Drosophila melanogaster: one gene and its partner. The gene in region 2 interacts genetically with the main gene of each other region. Each region holds a gene or a part of one and is shown on either strand. Other genes may lie near its edges.

What was found. A genetic interaction does not mean that the proteins touch.
Region 1: of Dg (region 2) and CG6700, changing one enhances a phenotype caused by changing the other (phenotypic enhancement), as found in Drosophila melanogaster (one study listed by BioGRID).

The regions. Positions count from the first base shown.
Region 1 is NT_033779.5:10,840,812-10,844,568, reverse strand, and holds the start of CG6700 (uncharacterized protein), read left to right. Parts: upstream 1-1,971; 5' UTR 1,972-2,188; intron 2,189-2,295; 5' UTR 2,296-2,380; coding exon 2,381-3,702; intron 3,703-3,757. Other genes in the region: CG17139 (uncharacterized protein), read left to right, coding at 1-119; CG17140 (uncharacterized protein), read left to right, coding at 277-830, 899-1,129, 1,188-1,488.
Region 2 is NT_033778.4:16,096,609-16,100,365, reverse strand, and holds the start of Dg (dystroglycan), read left to right. Parts: upstream 1-1,801; 5' UTR 1,802-2,238; intron 2,239-3,757. Other genes in the region: CG8414 (uncharacterized protein), read left to right, coding at 1-672, 731-996; mRpL34 (mitochondrial ribosomal protein L34), read right to left, coding at 1,065-1,287, 1,351-1,373.

The sequences.
Region 1 (3,757 bases), on a different chromosome or scaffold from region 2:
TTATCTTTCAGAAAAAACTTCGCGAAGACATCGAAGTTCTGTTCCACGTTGGCTTCGAAGGAAGTGATCCCATCAATGGGAAGCACAAGTTCGGCTCATCATGGTACTTCAATATGTAGGATGGCTAGCAAACATACGTTTGTATTCATTTCTATGTCATGATGGGGAGAAACTGAAAAACAAATCAGAAGTTTATGTTTCCGGTGTCAGATCGTTTAATCAAAATTTTAAATTTATACCTATTTATTTTTGCTATTTTTTTAAAGTATTTTCAAAATGACAAATATGAAGCAACGGCTGCGCAACTTGTTTCGCCGGAACAAAATGCGCGCACGGCCCACTACAGTGGCCAGTGATGCGAATAAGGAGCAGCCGGAGCCACCTAAGCAGGAGCCAAGCAAACAGAAGAAAACTAAGCAGGATGCCTCCAAGCAGGAGCCACCTAAGCAGGAAGAGCCCGAAAAGCCACCCAAGGAAGTCGAAGTGGAGATAATACCCTCGCCAACGTCAGAGGGCGAAATGCCCACCTACTTCCATGTGGGCGCCTTGGCGAAGGATTGCCTCATCAATGGCTTCAAGATCGGCGCATGGCAGATGCACTGCAGCACGCGAACCGATAATGACTTCTATCTGAACACCTTCGGCGAGGGCTATCCCACCATGAAGAACGTATTTGGCGGCATGGAGGTGTTCAAGGAAGTGGGCAACTACAGCACGTCCCTCGGCTGGTTCACCAACAATGATCTTCTCTCGGAGATCGCTGTGCGCGGCATGAACTTTGGCAGTCGATTGTATGGACTGCTCAAGTCAACAATTGGCACAAAAGACGAGTGAGTGTCCTCCATTTTTTCAGAATTTTCTTAACAGCATTAAAAACTATGCAAATTAAACCCTGAAGAGTGAGCTTTCAAACGAAGCTGAAGTGCGGGTTGGAGCGCGATCCCGTGAAGGTGGAACTGGTGGTGCCTCTGTACAACGAACCCCTATTTCTGGGCTATGTCCTGGTGGCGCCTGTAGAGAATTGGGTGCTGGGATATCGAACGGAGTACAACTTTGACGAAAAGGGATTCGATAAGCACGCCCTGTGCCTGGGCTACAATAATGGGAGGACCGAAGTGGGTCTAAAACTGTAGGTTGTCCAATAGCTTATTTAATATAGCCAACATCCCATTATATTTTACTTGTAGCGAGAATTTCGAGGATCTTCGAGGCTCGATCTTCCAAAGGATCGGCGAAGCCTGGGCCTTTGCCATCAAGACGAATCTCTACAGTTCGGAAAATGTGAAACAGTTTGCCATTGGGGTTCAGTACGACTTCCAGAATGGCACCATGGTGAAGGCCAAGCTGCGGGAGGACTCCAGAATGGGGTTCGTCTACCAATCAAAGATTGGGGAGAACATCGATGTTGGCTATCACTTGGCCTTCGATGGAGTAGATCCCATTGGTGGAGCCCATAGGATTGGCGTTTCCTGGGGTTTTCACTGTTGAAAAGAATGGTTTACTATGTACTATGATTTTACTATACATGATTAATATAAATAAATAATTTGTATACAAAGTGTTTTTCTAACTTATCTGATCATGATTTTGGTGGTTTCCGTAAGTAAACTAAGTAAAACTTATTTTTAATTAATGGAATCTGAATACTGCAGCGTATTGTACCTTATATTTTAATGTTTTATTGTTCTACAACAGTCTTAATATTAAAAATCGATTTGAAATTAACGACAATTCCATTTTTAATTACATCGTAAATCCTTAAATCGTACATAGATACTTAGATTTTTTATTTTTTTAAATCCACGTCCAAAAAACGAAGAAATAAATAAATAGAAAACGTTCACATGTTCCATATTCCACAATTCCTCCGCTATTATGGCGCGCATCTTTTAAATTATAGGAATGGATTTTCGGCTCAGCAAGCTACGGCCACACTAGCACTGCGACATATCTAGTCATCGATTATTCTGTCTCCTTTTCTTTATACGAAAAAATAGTTCAACTGTTCGGACGTGTTTATATATCGTGAGAAAATAAGGCAAAAAATAGCGTATTCCGAGTGTTTTCGTGCGTATGCAGATATATTTTTGCACTGCGCCACCTTTTTAATAAGTTATTTTGGAGAAAACGGCGTTTCAAACGAGCAAATCGAAGCAAAAAGTGCCAGTTCTCGGTGACCAAGAAGTAGGTAAGAAATAAAAATGGCGTCACATGCCAACATTCACACACACACCCATACACACAGACTAATGCGCACATTTTTCCCATTTTTGGTACCCTTTGTCATGAAATCAGGGGCCGAAATCGCAAAAACCCAAAGGTAAGTTCAGGTAAAAAAGAAATTAGCAAAGAACCAAGAGAGGCAGATTGTGGGAGTACCATGTCAGATGCCATGAGTGCTCCGCCGCCCCTTATTCCGCAGCTGCAGGAGATGCAGCAACAGCAGCAGCAGAGCGCTAATCCCGCCCAGCTCGCCCAGCAGTGGAGCAATTACGCCTGGTATGCCAACCAAAATGCTGCTTACCAGCAGCAGTATCAGCAGTACTACCAGTACTACGTACGCTACCAGCAGCAGCAGCAACAGCAGGTAACCTCGACGGTCAGTACGTCAAATGCGCCGCCGGGCTTCAGCAATGCGTTGGCTGCACCGCCGCCTCTGCCCTCAGGGCCGCCCCCTCCGCCTCCGCCGCAAATAGGTCAGCCACCTGGCCAAAACAAACAACAACAACAACAACAACAGCAACAACAATTACAACAACAACAGCAGCAACAACAACAACAGCAGCAGCAGCAGCAAAAAAATTTCGGGGGAATACGTTTTAATTTGAATTTAAACCAAAAGCGTTTGGCCGGTGCTCCTAATCCCCTGCAGCAACAACAACAGCAGCAGCATCAACAACAACAACATCAACAACAGCAACAGGTCATGCAATTGTACAATAACAACAACAGCAACAAAAAGAAGCGCAAGCGGAATAACAAAAACAAGAACTTTGAGCAATCAACATACAGCAATCCGTTTGCCAATCAAACCCCAGCCACACCCCAAGCTCCACCGCCGCCCATCATTAGCGCCAGCGATGTAGGTGTACCAATTAATCCGGACTTGAGCAAACCACCACCTCCATTACCCCTGGCCATTGTGGCACCCACAGAGAATCCCCAACACCAGAAGCAGCAGCAGCAGGAGCACATGGCAGCACAAAGAGCGGGAGAGGCTACATCCCAAACATCAAATTTTAAGCGGCCAAACAGTTTTCAAATGGCTTCAAGCGACTCCTGGCCGAATTCCCTCAACCAATATGTTGCTCGTTGCTATTCAAAGTGCAACACTGATCTGGATAAGGATCAGATCGACATATGTCTGAAAGGCAAGATTATAGCGGCGGCCAATCGCAACGAGCTGTGGACACGCGATTGGGATAACGAGCCCATGCCGACGGTGTACAGCGAGAGAGACGGCATTGATGTGGTGCTAAGCAATGTGCCACCGCCGCAGCAGCAGCGAAGCAACTACTTTCAGAAGAAGCAAGAACAGGAGAGGGAGCGAGAGAGAGACCGCGAAGCGGATAAGTCACCTGCCAAAGGTTCCACGGGTATAGTGAATCAGTTCAAGCAGAAGGGCAATCAGTTCAACAAGGCCTCGTCCAGCTACGGTTCTCATCACTCTTCGTCGTCCAAGTACTCCAGGAGTCGGTCGCGGTGAGTTTTATGATCTCTATTGATCGAATTGAAACTGTGTCATAAACCAGGATGT
Region 2 (3,757 bases):
CCGTAATTGATGAGCCCCTTCTGGGACCGGGCTTCCTGTACAACAGGCAGCCGGAACATGCCATTGTCGTGGGCCACACCAACATTGTCTTGTGCGCAGAGCAGTATGCCCGAGCAGTTATTCAGCTAGTCCAAAACATTCAGAACGATGCCAAGTATTCAAATATTCCTTGGCTGATAAATACGATGGGCTATAATAAGGGATTTGGTATCGAATTGATGGCTCTGCTGGTGGATCGCATTCGTCCCACGGATCTTGTACAGATTGCCAGTCCCATTCCAATCAATAACTTTGATTCTGTCCTCGACCGGAACAGTCTGTCGCAGATAAAACCAATTATATACTCTGCGGAGGAGTTCAAGATCAATGAAATACCAAAATACACACTCCATAAGCTGATAAGTGCAGTGCCTGCAAGGGAAAAAGGAACTTGGAGTCTCAGCGCCAAGGACATGCGGTACTCCAATCTTCTGGCACGTCTCAGTTCCTGCCTGACTGGAAATGCCAAATCTCTTACAGACTGCCAGCCGTTGGGAGTGTCTTTGGAATCCCTGAAAATCCTGCATCCCACCAGCAAGAATTACTCGCGCGAAGAACTGATTCGAGGCATGGAGGCTAATGTAGTATATCTGTGCCATCACGGAGCAGGTCTGCCCCAATGTTTGGGAATAGGTTTGTACACATTCACGTTCTTTTGTGGCTTATTAATTGAATTCCAAAATTCTTTTAGGTGTGGTTCGCGCCATCGACTACGAGCGCAAGGAGTTATACCTGGTGCCAGCAATGCCGCTACAAAAGATGTCCCTGGTGGATTGTCTTATCCTCGGCGGGGAACAGTCCCTGCCGCAGGGCTTCCTTCGGGATCAGGGCCAAGGTGTGTCCAGCAGTGTGCCCTTCGTGTTCATCCTTGACGATTCGAAATCTTCGAAGAGTATTCAGCAGATCTACCATCGAGCGCCAGCCTTTCTGGGAGTACCAGCGAATCAACGAAACTAAAACTGAGCTTACTGTAGCAATCGCAATCGGATAACATTGTAAATAAAGTTAGGTTTATTAACACAAGGCTAGTGTGACAAATTGTGACGTCCTTTGAGGATCCGGTTCATCAGCACTCGTCGTCCCTCAGGCGTCGACATCCTAGCATTCCAGCCGTGGACATTAATTCTCTTCACCTCCATGGGTTTCGGAAAATGGCAGCGTACTTTCGGTTTCAGCACCGCCCGGTTGAAAGCGTGCTTATCCCGCACGATTAGAGTTTGTGCGGTGCTGACAACCGCCAGGCAGGTCCTGCAATGCCAATGTATGTTATTATACCACTCAAAATAAATGGTATATTCATTATTTACTCGCCTTTGGAGCATTCCTTGCAGCATGTTAAGTAATTTCCAGTTAGTATGACCGCATGAAGTCCGAATAATACCGCCTGAACAGCCGGTAAGCCGCTTTGGCGTTGCCAGACCATTGGGTTCGAAATTTCGAACTTAGCTGCATGCTATTTTACGTTAGCATGTAAAATGCATTACATATAGATGGAATCATACAATTAATCTAAAAAATCGTCATAATATTGGTCAAATGGAAAACCACCATATGGGGACAAATTAGATAAACCGCTTTTAATTGAATGGATCTGAAAGTAACCGAAAACTTTTTAAATATGGAATGAATATGTTTGGTTGTACATATATCGAATTGGTATTGTGCCATCTCTAGCTACCCACGATGGTTGTGGCAGCGCAGCTGTTGCAAATGAATCCACAAGATACATTTCGGTATATTTTCCGCAACGGATTCTTTTCCACCCTCAGTTGCGGTCACACTGCCTAGCCAACAACAACCACAACTCGGTGCCGTTAGGGCTGCGTTTGTTTTCTGCTCCCATTCAGCTGCATAGAAAAGAAAGAAAAGTGAAAAGTGTTCGGAAAACAGGCAGCATGTGAAGCATAATTACTCCACGGAATTACTATCTCAAACGAAATAGTTGTCGCCGAAAAGAAGTGCGTAAAATCGCGAGTGAGCTCGTGAAAATAGAATAAAAAAGCGCTCTGCAATTGAAGAGAAACATTGCTGCAGTCGTGTGTACGTGCGTGTGTTTGTGCGTGCGAGTGTGAGTGTCGCTCTCTGGACGCAATTTCTTTGGCCAAAAGAGTGGGGAAGTGGGGCAGGAGAGTCCCGAATCGAATCCCCGAAACAGGCAATCCGAATCCGAATCCGGTGCATTAAAAATAGCGCAACGAGGTGAGTAAAGATGCAAACTGCAGCATTCAGTTCACGAGCTGATGCCAACAAAAAGAACTCCAATTAGCCATGTCTGCAGCCAGCCAAAAAAATAATGAAGAACGGCAGAAAAAATACAACAAGAAAATCGATTTTCCTGAACTTACAATTTTCTCCGCCTCACTGGGCAAAAGGGGGGGCGAAATGGAGCTTGGGGAGCCGGCTACGGCTCCATAAAGTATACATAAATTGAATTTCGAAACACGGAAGCGAAATGGATGCACTGGACGAAATAATGAATAAATTATTTTGATATCGAAAAGTTATTCTCGTTAGAAAAAGTTTCGCTGAGGGTCTCGAACGCAGTCTGTTTTTATAAAAGCATATTATTTAGCCTTATCAAGCAAGAGGATGAATAAAATTGCATTAAAATGTATTTCGACTAAATTTCGACTTGCTATACTTTATTTCTCTGCGTGTAAAAGGGGGCAGGAGGCTGCACACGGCTGTTGTTCTTGTTTTGTTTGCTGGTGTGGATGATGATGGAAATACTTGCATATGTGTGTGCGTTCTGCACAGAGGGAGATGTAAAAATTGAAAAATCTGACCAGAAGCAGGACCCTCCGACTTTTGGTCCAGTTGTCATGGCCACCGCACTTAACAAATGATTTTAGCGGCCACTTTTTCCCGGATGCGAATGGGGCAGCTGTCACTCCGTTTGCCTCCTCCTCCTTTTCTCCTTTTTCTGATTTCATCTGTCTGCCCCTTTCTATCTTGCTCTCTCCCCGTGTTCTCCAACGTGTGTGTGTGTGTGTGCGTATTTTGATGACGGCACTCAGTTTCCGCCCGCACTGTGATTTTTGGCCATACACGGCACCAATGTTTCAGTACAGTGGAACCTGGTGCGCAGGAACCAAATGAAGTTAAGTTTAAAACTGCATTTACTGCGACCATTTATGAAATTTTTTAAATGAGTTACATTTCAGGTTCTTCTAGATTTGTTTTAATGTGAGTAAACAATTTCTGCTTTAAAACGTAAAACTCACATGTACATAATATACAATTGTTGGCAAAGCAATAAAAACTTATTACTACCATAAAAATAAATAGGTCGACATTTTCAGACGCAAGAACGCATAGAATGTGTGAACAATACGTACAATAGCTTATTGACACAATATTTAGCATTCAGCGGATTAACTCATCAACGTTGGTTTTTGATTGAATGTGTTATATTATCTATTTATGTACATATTATATTATATAATATTTCGGCATAGGCTTTAACTAACTTTATGCTTGCCACTGTTTAAACTGGCTTGGTTTATCATACGTTTTTCCCAATTCGCGAGTGCCTACTGTAGAAAATCCCCGGCATTACCACTCAGTTTTCGGCACTCTTTTGCGGATGCTGCGTACGCAAAAAGGGGACGTCGGCTGTTCTAAGAGGACTAGATGTTTCCTTTTCACTTCCGCCAGCACCCCTAAATTACGTGTCTCTGTGTGAGTGTCTCTGCACGTGTGTGTGTTGCGTGCAAGT